2 linked regions of the Tamandua tetradactyla genome follow. The protein of the gene in region 1 purifies or fractionates together with the protein of each later gene. This does not show direct contact. Links are inferred from orthologs where the notes say so. Each region holds a gene or a part of one and is shown on either strand. Other genes may lie near its edges.

Evidence for each region. The genes of interacting proteins can lie anywhere in the genome.
Region 2: the proteins of ACTB (region 1) and MORF4L1 purify together in Homo sapiens (affinity purification with mass spectrometry; 3 studies listed by BioGRID, with this or other methods). This does not show direct contact. The link is inferred for Tamandua tetradactyla from reciprocal best matches to the Homo sapiens genes ACTB and MORF4L1.

What each region holds. Positions count from the first base shown.
Region 1 is NC_135349.1:4,685,499-4,693,252, forward strand, and holds the start of ACTB (actin, cytoplasmic 1), read right to left. Parts: upstream 3,019-7,754; 5' UTR 2,920-3,018; intron 1,870-2,919; 5' UTR 1,864-1,869; coding exon 1,741-1,863; intron 1,642-1,740; coding exon 1,402-1,641; intron 958-1,401; coding exon 519-957; intron 391-518; coding exon 209-390; intron 83-208; coding exon 1-82. UniProt on the Homo sapiens protein: Actin is a highly conserved protein that polymerizes to produce filaments that form cross-linked networks in the cytoplasm of cells.
Region 2 is NC_135340.1:94,397,749-94,405,353, forward strand, and holds the start of MORF4L1 (mortality factor 4-like protein 1), read right to left. Parts: upstream 3,018-7,605; 5' UTR 2,420-3,017; coding exon 2,380-2,419; intron 1-2,379. UniProt on the Homo sapiens protein: Component of the NuA4 histone acetyltransferase (HAT) complex which is involved in transcriptional activation of select genes principally by acetylation of nucleosomal histones H4 and H2A.

The DNA.
Region 1 (7,754 bases):
ACATCTGCTGGAAGGTGGACAGCGAGGCCAGGATGGAGCCGCCGATCCACACGGAGTATTTGCGCTCAGGGGGGGCGATAATCTGGGGAGGGAAGGGAGACCGTCAGCCTGAAGATCCTATCCTGGTGACGCAAAGGGCTGGGGGAGGGGCTGGTGCCCAGGCCCCAGACCCGGAGATGAAGGCTCCCCTTGACCACCAGAGACTCACCTTGATCTTCATCGTACTGGGTGCCAACGCTGTGATCTCCTTCTGCATCCTGTCGGCGATGCCCGGGTACATGGTGGTCCCGCCAGACAGCACCGTGTTGGCGTAAAGGTCCTTGCGGATGTCCACGTCACACTTCATGATGGAGTTAAAGGTAGTTTCGTGGATGCCACAGGATTCCATGCCTGGAGGGAGAGAGACTGGTCTTAGCTTCCCTGCACAGCAAGGCAACCCGGGCTGGGGGGGCGTGGGGGGCCTGGCCTTAAGGGGGAGGATGGCGGGAGCAGGGCTAGGAGGCCACGTGGTCACTCACCCAGGAAGGAGGGCTGGAAGAGGGCCTCGGGACAGCGGAACCGCTCGTTGCCGATGGTGATGACCTGGCCGTCAGGCAGCTCGTAGCTTTTCTCCAAGGAGGACGAGGAGGCGGCGGTGGCCATCTCCTGCTCGAAATCCAGGGCGACGTAGCAGAGCTTCTCCTTGATGTCACGCACAATTTCGCGCTCGGCCGTGGTGGTGAAGCTGTAGCCGCGCTCGGTGAGGATCTTCATGAGGTAGTCGGTCAGGTCCCGGCCGGCCAGGTCCAGACGCAGGATGGCGTGGGGCAGCGCGTAGCCCTCGTAGATGGGCACGGTGTGGGTGACCCCGTCGCCGGAGTCCATGACGATGCCCGTGGTGCGGCCAGAGGCGTACAGGGACAGCACAGCCTGGATGGCCACGTACATGGCAGGGGTGTTGAAGGTCTCGAACATGATCTGGAGGGAGAGGGGTAGTGGGGGGCTCGTCATGTCCAGGAGGGGACAGGGACAGCTGGCCACACTGGGGACATGCAGAAGAGTGCAAGGAACACAGTAAAAGTGTGCTGGGGAGGGGGACACGGGGGCAGGGGCTCAGTCCAGGCCTAAGGTGGTGCAATCAGACACACTCCAAGGCAATTTACACCAGCGTCCTTGGCTGCCACCGAGCCAGTGTTAGTACCTAAATCCACAGCACTTTAGGAACACCTAGTAAAAGGGACAGACACCAGAAAGAGGATTCATCTGGGGAAAAAGCAAACAGAACCTGCAGAGTTCCAAAGGAGACTCAGGTCAGAGAAGAGAGTCCTATGGAGAACGGCAGAGAGAAGAACAAGTTGAGAGGAGGGAAGGCACCGCAGGGAGAGGACCGCGGGCCGCCCGGGAGAGGCGGGGAGCACTGACCTGGGTCATCTTCTCACGGTTGGCCTTGGGATTAAGGGGGGCCTCGGTCAGCAGCACCGGGTGCTCCTCCGGGGCGACGCGCAGCTCGTTGTAGAAGGTGTGATGCCAGATCTTCTCCATGTCGTCCCAGTTGGTGACGATGCCGTGCTCGATCGGGTACTTCAGCGTCAGGATGCCTCTCTTGCTCTGGGCCTCGTCGCCCACGTAGGAGTCCTTCTGGCCCATGCCCACCATCACGCCCTACGGAACAAGGGACGGGGTCAGCCCCTGTGCGGGCAGCCCAGACCCCCCCCTGCCCCCGGGACCTCACCCAGCTCAAAGCGGGCCTGGCCGCCCTACCTGGTGCCGGGGGCGCCCCACGATGGAAGGGAAGACGGCCCGGGGCGCATCGTCGCCCGCGAAGCCGGCCTTGCACATGCCGGAACCGTTGTCGACCACGAGCGCAGCGATGTCATCATCCATGGTGAGCTGCGGGTCGGGGGGGCGAGGCCGTGAGCGGGGGAGGGGCCGCCCGCCCGCCCACTTCCGGCCGCCAGAGGGCGCCGGCGCGCGCCCGGCCTCGGGACAAAGGAAGCCCGGCCGGCCGCGCTATTTCCATAAAAGGCAAGTGCGGGTCGCGGCGGCGGCGCCGCGCGGCAGGAAGCCAGGCCCCGCCCCCGCCCGGCGGCCCCGCCCCCGCCCCGCTCAGTTGGGGCTCAGCGGCCACACCCTCGGCGGGGGCGCGGGGCGGCGCGCGCAGGCGCCCTGGAGGCCCGCCGACCCCACCCCTTCCGGGAGGGCCGGCCCCGCCCTCGCCCTGCGCCCCGGCCTGGGCCGTGCACCCCGGCCCTGCCCGCGCCCTTGTCCGGCCGGCGATAGACGGGGGTGCTATGGTGGGGGCAGTGGGGAGCGGGGAGCACGCACTTACGCACGCGCGGTAGCGTCCCAACCCCCACCCCGGCCTCGCTGCGCCCACCCTGGGGACAGGGGACAGCCACCTGCCCGCTTGGACAAAGACCCGGCCGGTCACCGCGGCCTCCCCCCACCCCAGGACTCCTCCAAGCCGCTCGCTACGGGCTCATGGTCTCGGATCCAGAGCTGGGGAGGGAGGTGGAATCCCGCCTGTCGCGGGGTTTGGGGGCGGCTCTCCACGGGCGACGTGGGGCCGCGGCTGGAGACCAAGTGGACGCTGCCACGGGGCGCTGCCTCCAGGGCATGGAGGCGCGGGGACCCTGCCTGGGCGTCGGCCATCAGCGCCCGTGGACCCTCCCTCCGCGCGGGCCATCCGTGCGCGGGGGACCCTGCCTGGGCGCCGGCCATCAGCACGCGGGGACCCTGCCTGGGCGCCGGCCATCAGCACGCGGGGGGACCCTGCCTGGGCGCCGGCCATCAGCACGCGGGGACCCTGCCTGGGCGCCGGCCATCAGCACGCGGGGAACCTGCCTCTGTGCCCGGCCATCAGCGCGCGGGGACCCTGCCTCGGTGCCCGGCCATCAGCGCGCGGGGACCCTGCCTCGGTGCCTGGCCAGAGCGACTTACCTTGGAGGTGGCGAATGTAAACCGGCGGTGGTGGCGGCTGAGCGGCGAGAGGCCTGTACTCGCGGGGTGGACGCGGTGTCGGCGGTGGCTGCGCGTCGCGCCGCCGGGTTTTATAGGGCACTGCCGTGGCCGCTCGAGCCATAAAAGGCAACTTTCGGAACGGCGCGCGCTGATTGGCCCCGCGCCGCTCACTCACCGGCCTCGCCGCACAGTGCAGCATTTTTTTACCCCCTCTCCCCTCCTTTAAAAAAAAAAAAAGGAGCGAGCGAAAGAGCGTGAGCGAGATTGAGGAAGGGAGGGCGGAGGAGGGAGAGAGTTTTGGCGTTAGCCGCCCTTGGGTGCCGGGCCCATGGGCCAGGGGTGCAGGCCTGGGGTCGTCCCCCGGATGGGCAGTGTCCACGCCGGCCCTGCGGGCCAGGCCTGGTTTCAGGCTGCTGGTGTCGCCGCGACCCCCACCCGTGACCCTGTGGGTGTGGATGTCACATGAGCACAGCAGGCCTCGGTGGGCAAGGGGTCAGCATGGAAGCAAGGGCGCTGGTTGCCGCAGGCACGTGCTGAAGTTGCAGCGGCATTGAGGGGGACACAGGCAGGGGACGGTCACAGTCACTCCCCCTTGCCAACATTAGCTCAACTGCCCAGGAGGCCTGGCCTGGGGGTACTCTGGAGGTGTTTGCTGGGCTGGCTGTGGGCTGGGGCCCTTCTCAGACACCTGGGGCTGAGCTTCCCTGGCGGAAAGGCTGCAAGCCTCCCCTGCTGCAGGGAAACTGTTTCCAAGGAGCCAGGCTGCCTCTGACGCCCGCCTGGTCACACCCAGCCTAAGCCGTTAGCTGTTGGGTGGGGTTGGCAGGGCTGACTCTGCCCCCCTTCGAGGCTGGGCCCCTCCATCCATCTTCCGTCATGGACAGCCACAGCTGAGCTGCTTCCCTGGACCATCTGGAGGCCGGGAAGGACTCTGGGGAGGAACGCAATGTGCCAGAGGGGAGTTGGGGGGAGGGCAGTGGTGGGAACCCAAAGCCAGCTGGTCTCAGAGAAGACCCTCTTCTCAACCTTTCTTGCCCTGGGTCTGTGCACCCCACATTGGGCAAGACCCATGTCTCTGGGAATGTTCGGTGGGGGGCGGGGGGCGTCCAAAATGGACAGCCCAGTCCTCTGTCCTAGGGTTCCCAGGTGGGGACACATGAAGATCAGTGTGTGTCAGACAAGCCTGGCGCCCGGGGACTCAGCCTGGAGGACCAGGGGTGGGCTTAACTCGGGGTGACAAGAGGCCACAGGCATTCTTCGTCCCTCTGTCACTGGCCATCTCTGGGCACCCGATGGCGGTGAGAAAGCGGGAGGACCGTCGGCCCTGTGGGGATGGAGAGCCTGCGGCTGGAGAAGAGGTGGCTTGCTCCAGCTCGTTGGATGGGCCTGGGGGCAGGGTAGCACCACAGAGGCCATCCCCAGGTGGGAAGAGAGACCCCCACGCAGCTACAGCAGAGGCCACACGGTCCAAGTCACATGCCAGCCTTCCCAGAGACCTGCCAAGAAGCTGCGGCCACTCCCCCATCCTCGCGTGGGCCTGGGTAAACTTTCCCAGCCTGTCCACTCGCTGCCTCCCGGAGGCTGGCAGCTCTGGCCCTGGCCTTCTTTCTCGATCACGGGCATCTCGCCAGCCACCTCACGACCTGCCAGCCCTGTAATTCACCAGGCCAGGGGGCACCCCTTTGCGCTGCCTGTCGATGAGCCTGGTGGGGTACTGAGTTCGGGGCTACAGGCATAGGGTGGGAGGTTCTTGGGGTGGCTCTGGGCACCGAGTGGGAAACACTGGTCCCTGAGCAGGACCTGGGCTGCCCGCTGGCCTATGGTACCCACTGTCTGCAGCAGCCACTTCCTGGTGATCTCCTATGCATCCTTCAAGGCCCATACCAGAAGGCCCCTTCTTAGAGAGGACTTTAGCATCATTATCCTCCACTTTCCTCCCCACATAAGACAGCTACCCTGGACTAGTATTGGTAATTTGGCTTTTGAGGGTATGTCACTCCCACTTTCCTGCCTTGCTCACGCCCCCCATAACCCCCTCAGGGCCCTGCTCTGTTGAATGAAGAAATGATTGGCTGGGTGTCCTCAGTCCAGACTCTGGGGAGATGAGGGGCCAGAGGGGCTGGGCAGCAAGCCTGGGGCAGGGTGGGATGGGGCCTGGCCAGTAAATGGGCCTGAGCAGAGCAAGAAAGCAGGGGAAGGGGAAAGGGGAAGTGCAGCCTGCTGGGGGAGGGGGAGGAGGGGAGGGAGAGGAAGTGAACAGGTTATTCTTCACTCGGGAACTTTGCCTTTGCGGGGTGGGGTGCGGGGGTGGGGGTGGGGGTTCTGCCGAGACTTGGGGCCGGTTGGGTCCACCATGAACCTGGGGCCCAGCACTGGGTCCCAGGTCTCTTGGTTCCTTCACCCTGCCAGGCCCCAGGCTAGGGTGTCCGTAGCCTTTTGGAGCCAGATTCCCCCACACCCCATGCCCTCTCCTGCCAAACAGCCACCAGCCACCAAGCCCTGGGCCTGCCGGGTAGGCAGCCCAAGCTCCTTTTTTTTCAGAGGGAGGGTCTGGGATAGGGCTGAGCAGGAGAAGAGGCCCCCCTTTTAGACCATGGGCCACAGGAAGGCAGGGACCCCGCAACCAGAGGGCTCTCAGTGAGGGGTAATTGAATGAAGGGGTGAGGCAAAGGGGCTAAGATATTCCAGCAAGCACACCCCCTTTTTACAGATGGGGAAACTGAAGCAGGACTGGTAAAGCACCCAGGGCTTAGGCTCCTGTGTGAAGGGTGCTGAGCTGGGCTCGGGGTCCCCAAAAGCAGTGGCCTCACCTCCTGCCTTATACTGCCCCTCCCTGAGTAAAGCCTGGAATGTCCCAAGGGAATGGGTCCAAAGGTGCTTCCAAACTCTAAATTCCTGGGCCCTGCCTCACTCCTCAGCACTTGTCTCCTGAGGCTCAGAGAGAACAACCACCAGCCTGCAGTCACACAGCAATCCATCCTGAGGGCCTAAGCTTCCTCTCTCCTCTGCCTCTTGCATCCCCACTTTCCCTGTTTGCAGTATGATCTTAAGAAGAAACCTCGGCTCCTTTGAGCAAGTGGACCTCAGGAGTCTTGAGGTCCTGGGAGGGCCTATGCTTGGGGTCCCTCACCTCCTGCCAGACTTCTCAGTCTTCAGGGAGGGGTCAGCTCTTGGACTGCCACCTCCAGGAAGCCTGCCGTGACCTCCTCCTTCCTCTACCATGACTGAGAAGTAGAGACCCAGCCAGAGCTTCTTAAAGGGTAGTTCAGGAAGGCCTCCCTGAGGAGGTGACCAGCCAGCTAGGGGAGGTTGGAGAACAGCCTGGTCAAAGGCCCAGGGGCAGAGAGATGGGCTGTGCCCTGGGCAGCACCCTGGCTGGCTCCCCAGACCTGGCAGCCTCTGCCCCACCACCCAGATTCCCCCACCCCCTAAGGGGTTATCTGGGGGGTGGGAGCTGTCCTGGAGAAACTGGGAACTTCTAGACACTTCATGGGGGAGTTTTTAAAAATCCTTAAAAACTACCCTCTCACTTCCACTCCCCCAGGGCACTCAGAAAAACCTGCCCAGCCTTCCAGGGGGGTTCCCAGACTTGCTTGAATGATTAAAAAAAAAAGAAACAAAAAGCTTCCCTGGGCTTCCCCTCCACAGGCTCACCAGCTATGCCCTTTTATCCCATGAAGGTCCTTGGGCTGACTGTGCCCATTCTCTGGATGAGAAGCCTAGACCCCCCCAGAGAGACCCAGGGGGCTGCAAGGAAGGGGCCCCTTGGGGGCGGGGTGGGGCTGTCCAGGTGAGCTGGGGTGGATGCTCCTGTCCCCTCTCTCGTGTGCACAGCGACCTGCTCACAGCCACCCAGAGGTCACGGCAGCCTCTGGGGCAGAGGATGGGGGGCCAACAGCCACGGCAGGTTCTGGGGACTCCTGGCCCTGCCACCTGGGCTGTGAACCGAGCAGGTGTGACACGTGGCTCCCAGGTGGCCTGGGGCGGTCACTGTATGGAGGGGGACCCCTGAAGTGCCATTTGGGCCCACGAGGGCTGGTGGATGTCAGGGGTTCAACCTCCTCCTGGCTGGGTGGCCTTTTCCCCCCACTTTCCTGCCCAGCCCGGGGGGGGGCTCGGAAATTCCCACAGGTGTTGGGCCACTAGAGGTCCGGGGTGGGGGTGGGGGCACCCCTCCTGAAGAGCCTGAGGAAGTGAAAGGGGAAGGGGGGAAGGAGGTGTTGGGAAAGGACGGGCGGGGTGGCCGCTGACTCACGGAGGCCACTGGCTCCCCCATCTCCCAGCCCAGCCTCCCCTTCCTGGTCTCCCCCCATGTCCGTGAGAGGAGAAGGGAAAGCATAGTGTCTGGGGCCAACCGTGGGCCGGGCCTAGGTCCAGAGCTAAGTGGGAATCTCCCCATTTCTCAGAAGGGCAACCGAGTCCCCGTGAAAGTGAGAGACCTGGCCCTGCAGTTAACAGCCCAGTCTGGCTATTGCTAGACCTTACTGGAATTTGCTGGAACCTGGAATCCAGAACCGGGTGCAAGGCCAAGGTCCATGGAGAGCCTCGAAGGGCCCCACAGAGTCCTTCAGCCTCTGCAGTCACTGCTCTTGGCCCCATACTTCAGATGGGCAAACTGAGGCTCAGAGTGGCCAGGGACTTGGCTGAGTGGTGGCAAAACCTGCACCCAGCCACCCTGGGCCTGGCAGTGGGAATCACGCTGGGCCCCTCGTGCAGGCCTCCTCAGCTGGCACCGGCTGCTTCGGTGTGGGGCGTGGTATCTGTCCTAGTGGGAATCCGATCGGCTGTACCACATAATCAGGCTCTCCTCGGCC
Region 2 (7,605 bases), on another chromosome or scaffold:
GAAAAACTTTAAAATTTAAAGGAATCATAAACAGCAAAAAATGCTATCTCCTCATTTTGTTATTTCATATCCCTATCATTATATACTCTTCTATCGTGTTTCAAGATGATTCTTCTCGCATTAACAGAATATTCCTTTCCTCCTTACAAAAGATTCTGAATGTATTTTATAAATACCTGTAATTTACTAAAGATGGCTAGAGAATTCAGTATTCATACGAAAGTAGAAAACACACACGGAAAACGATGTTAAGAGATTCTTGCAAACCTTTCAAAAATTTACCCCTACCTTGCTTCCTCAAACCACTATGGATAGCAGCACATGGACTCTCATTTACTTCTACCCACCTCACTCTACATCTCTCTAGTTCAGAACTAAATAAAACACTTCCTCCAGGAAGCCATGAGTAAAATGGTTTCAGATGCCAGTGATTTTCCTGCTTTGATATCCTATATTAGGGATTAATTTTTTGTATCATGGACCCTTGACAGCCTGTTAAAGCCTATGGGCCTCCTCTTAGAATGTTCTGAAATACAAATAAAACCAACTGTAACTGAAATAGTAGTTGTCAAAACATTGAAGTACAATTTCCTATGGTATTACACATGCTCCTTAGTTAAGATTTAACTGCTGATGCAATAACTATCATTTTGAGGTAATGAAGAGCATTCAGTAACCACAATGTCGATATGGAAATAACTGATTTTTGCTGGCGACAATCACAGTACTGCTAATATTACTGTGGACTGTTTTTATTTGGCTTACAATCATAACTGAAACACAGAATTTCGTCCAAGTTCACCGGACCCTTTGAATTCTGTCTAATGACCCTACATTAAGGATCCCTGGTCTAAAGCACCTAGTAAGATAATGAAGCCACAGGACGTACGATAAAGTCGCAATCTCTCCAAGTGGGACACAGGAGGTATTAAGTATTTTCTGGGTGTACATGTTACTAAAATTAAAAAAAAACCAAAACGAACTGCACAACACAGTGACGGCTAAGTTAAACCACGGACTACAGTCAATAGTACAATTATAAAAATGTGCTTTCATCAATGATAACAAACGTTATCTTGCATCTTAAGCATCATTTTTCTGTAAACCCACACTTTTTAACAACAAAAAATGACAGCACGGTCACAGAGTCTTTTAAAAGCAATTTAAAAAGAACCATTATCCAGAATACCTTTGGAAACCCCTTAAATACTCCATAAAAACATAATACCCTTGGATTTTGGCTACATGACTCCAAAAGTAATTCGAACGCATACCGATGTGAGAACATTCCTGAAACAAAAGTTTTATACAGGGCGTATGGACATCCGCATTTATGAAAACTGGCCGGCGTGAAAGCGTTCCTTTCGGCTAGAGGATTTACTTCCTCCTCGCGCGTGGAGGCCCCATCTTCCACGAGCACCCACTGCTAACGCCAGCCGAAACATCTGACCCAGAGGCAACTAATAAAAGCCAATTGAGCTCTCAAATCACTCTTCGTCATATTCTAATTGCAGTTAGCCTAACATCCGGGCAACAGGACTTCGAAATGGAGACACGAGCCACTGCTTTTTTCTTTCCTTTTCACGAGGAGCCGCACAGCAGGAAGCGCGCACTCCTCACGGAAACCTCGGCGCTCCGCTCTCGGAGCGCAAGACCAGAGGCCTTCAGGCAGCCCGAGGCCGGCGGCACCGCTCCCGGCTGTCTTTTTCGTCCCACCCGCCTTTCGGAGGTAAACGCGCGGTCGCGACGAGGGGGGCGCTGCATCCGCCCCGAAGCTACGTCTGCCGCCCGAGGCCGCGACGCCGGCAGCCCCGGCGGGGCCGCCATCTTGCGGCGGCCATTTTACAACGCAGTTCTCCCGCCCTGGGGCGCTCACCCACCCCCGCGGCGCACCCGGGCGTCTACACCGCACGCGGCCACCCGGGAGCTGCAGGCGGCCCTCGACCGCTAGAAGCCGGCCGTCGGCGAGGCCGGGCGACCCCGCCCCGGCGCCCGAAACAGCCGCCGCTGCCTCCCCTCCCCCCGCGCCACATCACTTCCCCTACCCGCCGCCATGGCGTCCCAGTCGCCTCCCTACAATAGGCTGCGTTCTCCGCGCCCCCTTCTTCAGAACAATAACAAACACTCGGCCGAGGTCCGCCACGCGCAAGACGCTCCCTCTGCAGTTCTCACCGCCTGCCTAGCGCTGCCGCTTCCCACGGCGTTTTCTCCCCATGACGCAGTGAGACTCCCCTCCGCAATGCGCTGTCCCCACAAAGCGCCACCCGCCGCCCTCTCGGGGCGCAGCCCACGCCGCCCCCGGCCCCCAGACCTCACCCACCCCGAGCCCGCCTCCCCCGCCTGCGCCGCTGAGTGCCTCTCTCCCGCGTCCGGACTCACCCTCCTGGAATTTAGGCTTCGGGTCCTGCTTCGGCGCCATTTATAAGTGATTCGCCGCCGCCTCCTCCTTCTCCCACCACCCCCGACTACCGCCCCCTACTCTCTACCCCACCCAACTCAGCGTCAGCCGCGCCGTCAGGCTCTGCCAACTCTACATCCCGCGCCCGATTTGCCAGCGCCCGCAGACGTCACAGCCCCGCGACCCGCGCAGCCTCAGTTCCAGCCGTCGGTTGCCCGCCGCGCAGGCGCCCTTCCGTCCGCGCCGCCCCGGGGCACGCCGGGAACGGTAGTTCCAAAATGGGGACGCCGCGGGGCGGGGGAGGGGTCAGGGCTGCCGGTGAGCCCGCTTTCCGTGGCAGGTCCCCAGTCGGGGGTGCGTAGGAAAGCTTTGGGGGCTGCAGTCTGGCCGGAAGGCGGTGGGAGATAGGGTCCCCGACCGGAAGCTTCGTGCGGCGGCCAACTCCCTCCCAAACTGCTTGGTGGTCGGTTGTCTCCTGCGCCGACCCTCCTTCTCCGGCCTCGGCCCTGCGGCCGGGAGGGTGGAGCTGCGGTCGAAGCGGGACGCGGTCTGGGGGTGGAGCTCGGCCGCTGGAGGGCAGAGGACCGCCCGTGGGAAGGCACCGGTGGTGTGCACAGACGGCAGCGACGCCGGCCGGAGGCTTTTGTCGCGGGCTGAGCTGGTCTCGTGGATGCGCGCACGGTCGCCGCGAACGGCCTTCCCAGGTCCTCGTCCCGCCACCCTGACCGCAAAGTCCTCGGTTTGCTCTGCTGCCAAATGGGGCTGGTAGCCCCTTCCTGGGGTGTACTGTGAGGACTTCGTGTTAAAGGCTTAGCGTGGTGTCTTAACGGGCTGAAAGCTCAACCAACGTGAACCCGAGGATTAATCCCTCCGCCTGGGCTTTGCACGCGTCTGCAGCCCCCACCCGCCCTCCCACGCTCCTCCGTCCACCCTGGTCTCCGTGGCTTCTCCAAGCCCCTCTCCGTCTGTCTGACTCCTGTTTCTCCTCCAAGCCCCCTCTCCTACACGACCTTTGTTCTATCACAGAAACCCACAAGTAACCCGAGCTCTTTATTCCAGCTGATTACGGATCATCTTGTCTCTACAACTCCTTTGGCACAACTGTGCTATTAACCACACGAAGAAAGGGGCCAGGGCCTCTGTGACTCCCTCCCCCCACAAAACTACTCCATATGCATTTTTCAAATTTTTGAATACGTAATCCTTAAAAATCTTGTTTTAATTAAATATTATAAAAACAGAGATAGTGGAAAGTCTCCTTGTCATTTCTGTTCTAGTTCCCCTGGGAACAAAAGTCGCCTATGTATCCGTGCCGTTTCTTTATCCTAGCATTTTGTCTATTATTTACATTAAAGTTAAAATAGTTTTTACCTTTACGTTTTAGTGACACAAGCAATACTTGAGTGTGTGGGTTGTATCTGATGCAGCAACTCAGAAGTTCAGCATGCAGGGCAAAACTCAAGGAACTCCTTTGATTTCCCCCATTTGCCTTTGTACTGCTTGGTATGTATATCTTTTTCAGCCCTTTCCTATGTTTTTTTTTTCTTACCATGAATGGGCTGTTCATGTGTTCTGTGTCTTCTTTTTTAACTTAATGATATGGCCTAGTGATCATTCCAGTCACATACCCATCTAAGTCACATTTTTAATAGTTCATGACATATTATAAATATACCAGAATTAATCTCGCTTGTGTAGCTGGACAATTAGGCTAATTCCATCTTTTCACTATTAGAGACCTATATGTTTGAGCCTCCATCTTTATGCACATTTCTTTTCTTTTTCTTTTTTTTTTTTTTTTAGGTTCCCTGCATATAGAATATCTAAGTCAGAGTGTGGGCATTTTAAACTGCCCTATGATAGGCTTCACCAATTTACATTTCAACCAGTAATTTGAGAAAGGGCTTATTTTCCCACATCCTTGCCAAACATGGTATTATCGATCTCTAGAAGTTTGTTTTACTATGTCGGTAAGTCATGTTGCATGTGCTGGTTTGAAAGGATGTGCATCCCCTAGAAAAGCGAAGTTTTAATCCTAATCCCATTTTGTAAAGGCAGCTGTTTCTTCTAATCCCTACTGAATACTATGTGTTTGAAACTGTAATCAGATTGTCTCCTTGGAGCTGTGATTTAATCAAGAGTGGTTGTTAAGCTGGGTTAGGTGACGACATGTCTCCATCTATTTGAGTGGGTCTTGATAAATTTCTGGAGTCCTATGAAAGAGGAAACATTTTGGAGAATGAAGTGATTCAAAGACAATAGAGCAGGACGACATAGCCACGAGAAGCAGAGTCCACCAGCCAGCGACCTTTGGAGACGAAGAAGGAAAATGCCTCCCGGGGAGCTTTATGAAACAGGAAGCCAGGAGAAGAAGCTAGCAGATGACTCTGTGTTCACCACGTGCCCTTCCAGCCGAGAGAGAAACTCTGACTGTGTTCACCACGTGCCTTCTCACTTGAGAGAGAAACTGTGAACTTCATCAGCCTCCTTGAACCAAAGTTATCTTTCCCTGGATGCCTTAGATTGGACATTTCAATAGACTTGCTTAATTCAGAAGCTTAATTTTCTCGGCCTTAGAACTGTAAACTTGCAACTTATTAAATTCTCCTTTTAAAAGCCATTCCGTTTCTGGTATATTGCATTCTGGCAGCCAGCAAACTACAACATTGTGCAAAAAAAACCAGACACTTTCTCAATGGTGATCAGAATCAGAGAAGTGGTTAACTGAAATGGAAGGGGAGTTTAACTGGGAAAGGGGGACAGGGAACTTTTGAGGTGCTGGAAATATTTTATAACTTGATCTGGTATAGTTATATGAATGCTTCCTTAGGTAAAAATTCATCAAGCCATACATTTACAATTAATTCATATCACCATATCTGCATTATTCCTCAATAAAAGCATCTTAAATCACTTTTTTCTTTTAACTATGAAAAATTCAAACAGGAAAATGGAATAATAATATATGCCATCTAAATTCAACAATTGTGAACATCTTCCCATCTATGTGTGTGCGTGTGTGTACACATCATGATTTCTTGAAGCCTGACTTCTTCAGTATGCATTTCCGAAATATAAAGGCATTCTTGTACATGCCGCAGTGCCATTATTACATACAAAACAATTAACAGTAATGCCCTAAAATCATACAGTACTCCATACTAAAATTTCCACTATTATCCCTAAAATATTTTCATATTTGTTTTTTCAAAACAGGATCCATTAAATGACATTTGGTTGTTAAATCCCCTACATCTTTTTACAACTAGGCCAAAGATTCTTAACCGGAGTCTATGAATGCAATTCAAAAGGTGAGTAGGAAAATTCAAAGGTTGAATAGGAAAAAATTTACTTCTTTATTGACTCTAGTTGAAATATAGCATTTCCCTTCATTAAAAATGAAGGTAACAACTACATTAGCATTAGCAGCACCCTGGACTTTGTCGCCAGTAGAAATTGCAGATATTTTTATATCATGTTAAAGTTCTTGCAGATATTTAAAATATATTTACATTCATCACTACTTTGAAATTACTGGAATTATTAGGCATGCCACTAGATGTTGTCATTTAATTCATTAATATTGAGGCATAAACACCAGCATATCGCATTCTAAAAATATTTTGATAACTGTACTTCAATGTAATATTTTACCTTCTATACACCTATGTGGGCTTTTTTTCTTTCTGCATTTAAAAACAGATTTCTAAGAAAGAGTACATTGGCATTAGCAGACTGCCAGGGGTCAGTCTCTCTAAATGACACATCTTCATTAGGATTAGCATTGGGATTAGTATTAGCATTAGTATTAGAATTAGTATTTGTTCATGACATTGGCTATTTTAATATCTGACATTCTGGATTTGCCTGATTATTTACTCACGGTCAGTAATGTTTACCTTACCTTTTTTTCTTCTTTCCTGTTCCTATAAACTTAAAGTGAGATCTAAAGTGTTGATTAGATTCAAGCTGAAAGTTTTTGACGAGAGTATGTTATAGGTGATGCTACCCACTTTTCATTCCGTGGCATCAGCAGGCACATAATGTCTGGATGTCTCACTTTTAGGGATGCTAAGTTTGATCACTGGGTTGAGAAGCTTAAAGCCTCTTTGGTTTTGCATAATCAAATGACATTTAATTTTATGGAAATGTTTAAACATGTACAAAAGTTGAGGGTATAATACGGTGAATCCTGCTCCTTCTATCACTCAGCTTCTGTGTTATCAACACACAGCCCATCTTGTTTCATTCTTACCCCTCATCCCTCCTCTCCTTGCCGCAGCCCCAGCAATACATGCACACAAATCCCAGCTGCCATATCTATTTAATTCATAAATAACTTAGTATGTCTCTCTAAAATACAAGTATCCCTTTTTAACACAATACCATTATTAAATTTAAAAATTAATAATTCCTTGGGGTGCACAGGTGGTTCAGTGGCAGAATACCATCTTCCATGCGGGAGACCCAGGTTCGATTCCTGGACCATGCAGCCCCCACCCCACCCCCCAAAAAAAACTTATTAAAAAATAAAGAATTCCTTAATATCTTCATGTGGGCAGTCAGCACCCAGCTGTCCCCAAGTGTTTCATCCATGCTTTTTTTAATGATCGGCTGGTTCAAATCAGGATCCATACGAGGGCCACACATTGCATACACGTGAGATGTCATGGTCTGTGTTTCTTTTATTTGCTACTTATTAGTTAAGAAAGCAGACCACAGAGAACTAGCACACTTTCTTAGATGCTGCATTTATGAATTCAGTGAACTTAAAATCTTCAAATATGAGTTCCATGGAAGAATAAAATGTGTTTTATTTGGTATATGTTTGACAATATTCTTTTAGCGCAAATAGTAATGAAACATCAACCAACAGTAAGAAGAAAACATCCCCTGAGATGAAGCTCATTTTCATGTGTCATTTCTGAAGGAGCTGTGAGGCTGACGTCCTCCTGACCTGAACTTGGGTCGCAATCCAAACAAACCAATACTTTCAGGAAAGGCTTTAGAGACTGAAGATGGTGGCAATCATATAAGGCATAATAAAATAAACTTAAAATCAAAATTACCTGGAATGCTGATCTTAAATTTTAAATGGCTGCATGATTTGATATTTTCATTGACTCCTCATGAATTGACTAGTTTGCATTTTCTCTACCAGGTTTGCTTCTCTGGAAAACCCCTTTTCCCCCAACAACCCCTGCTCC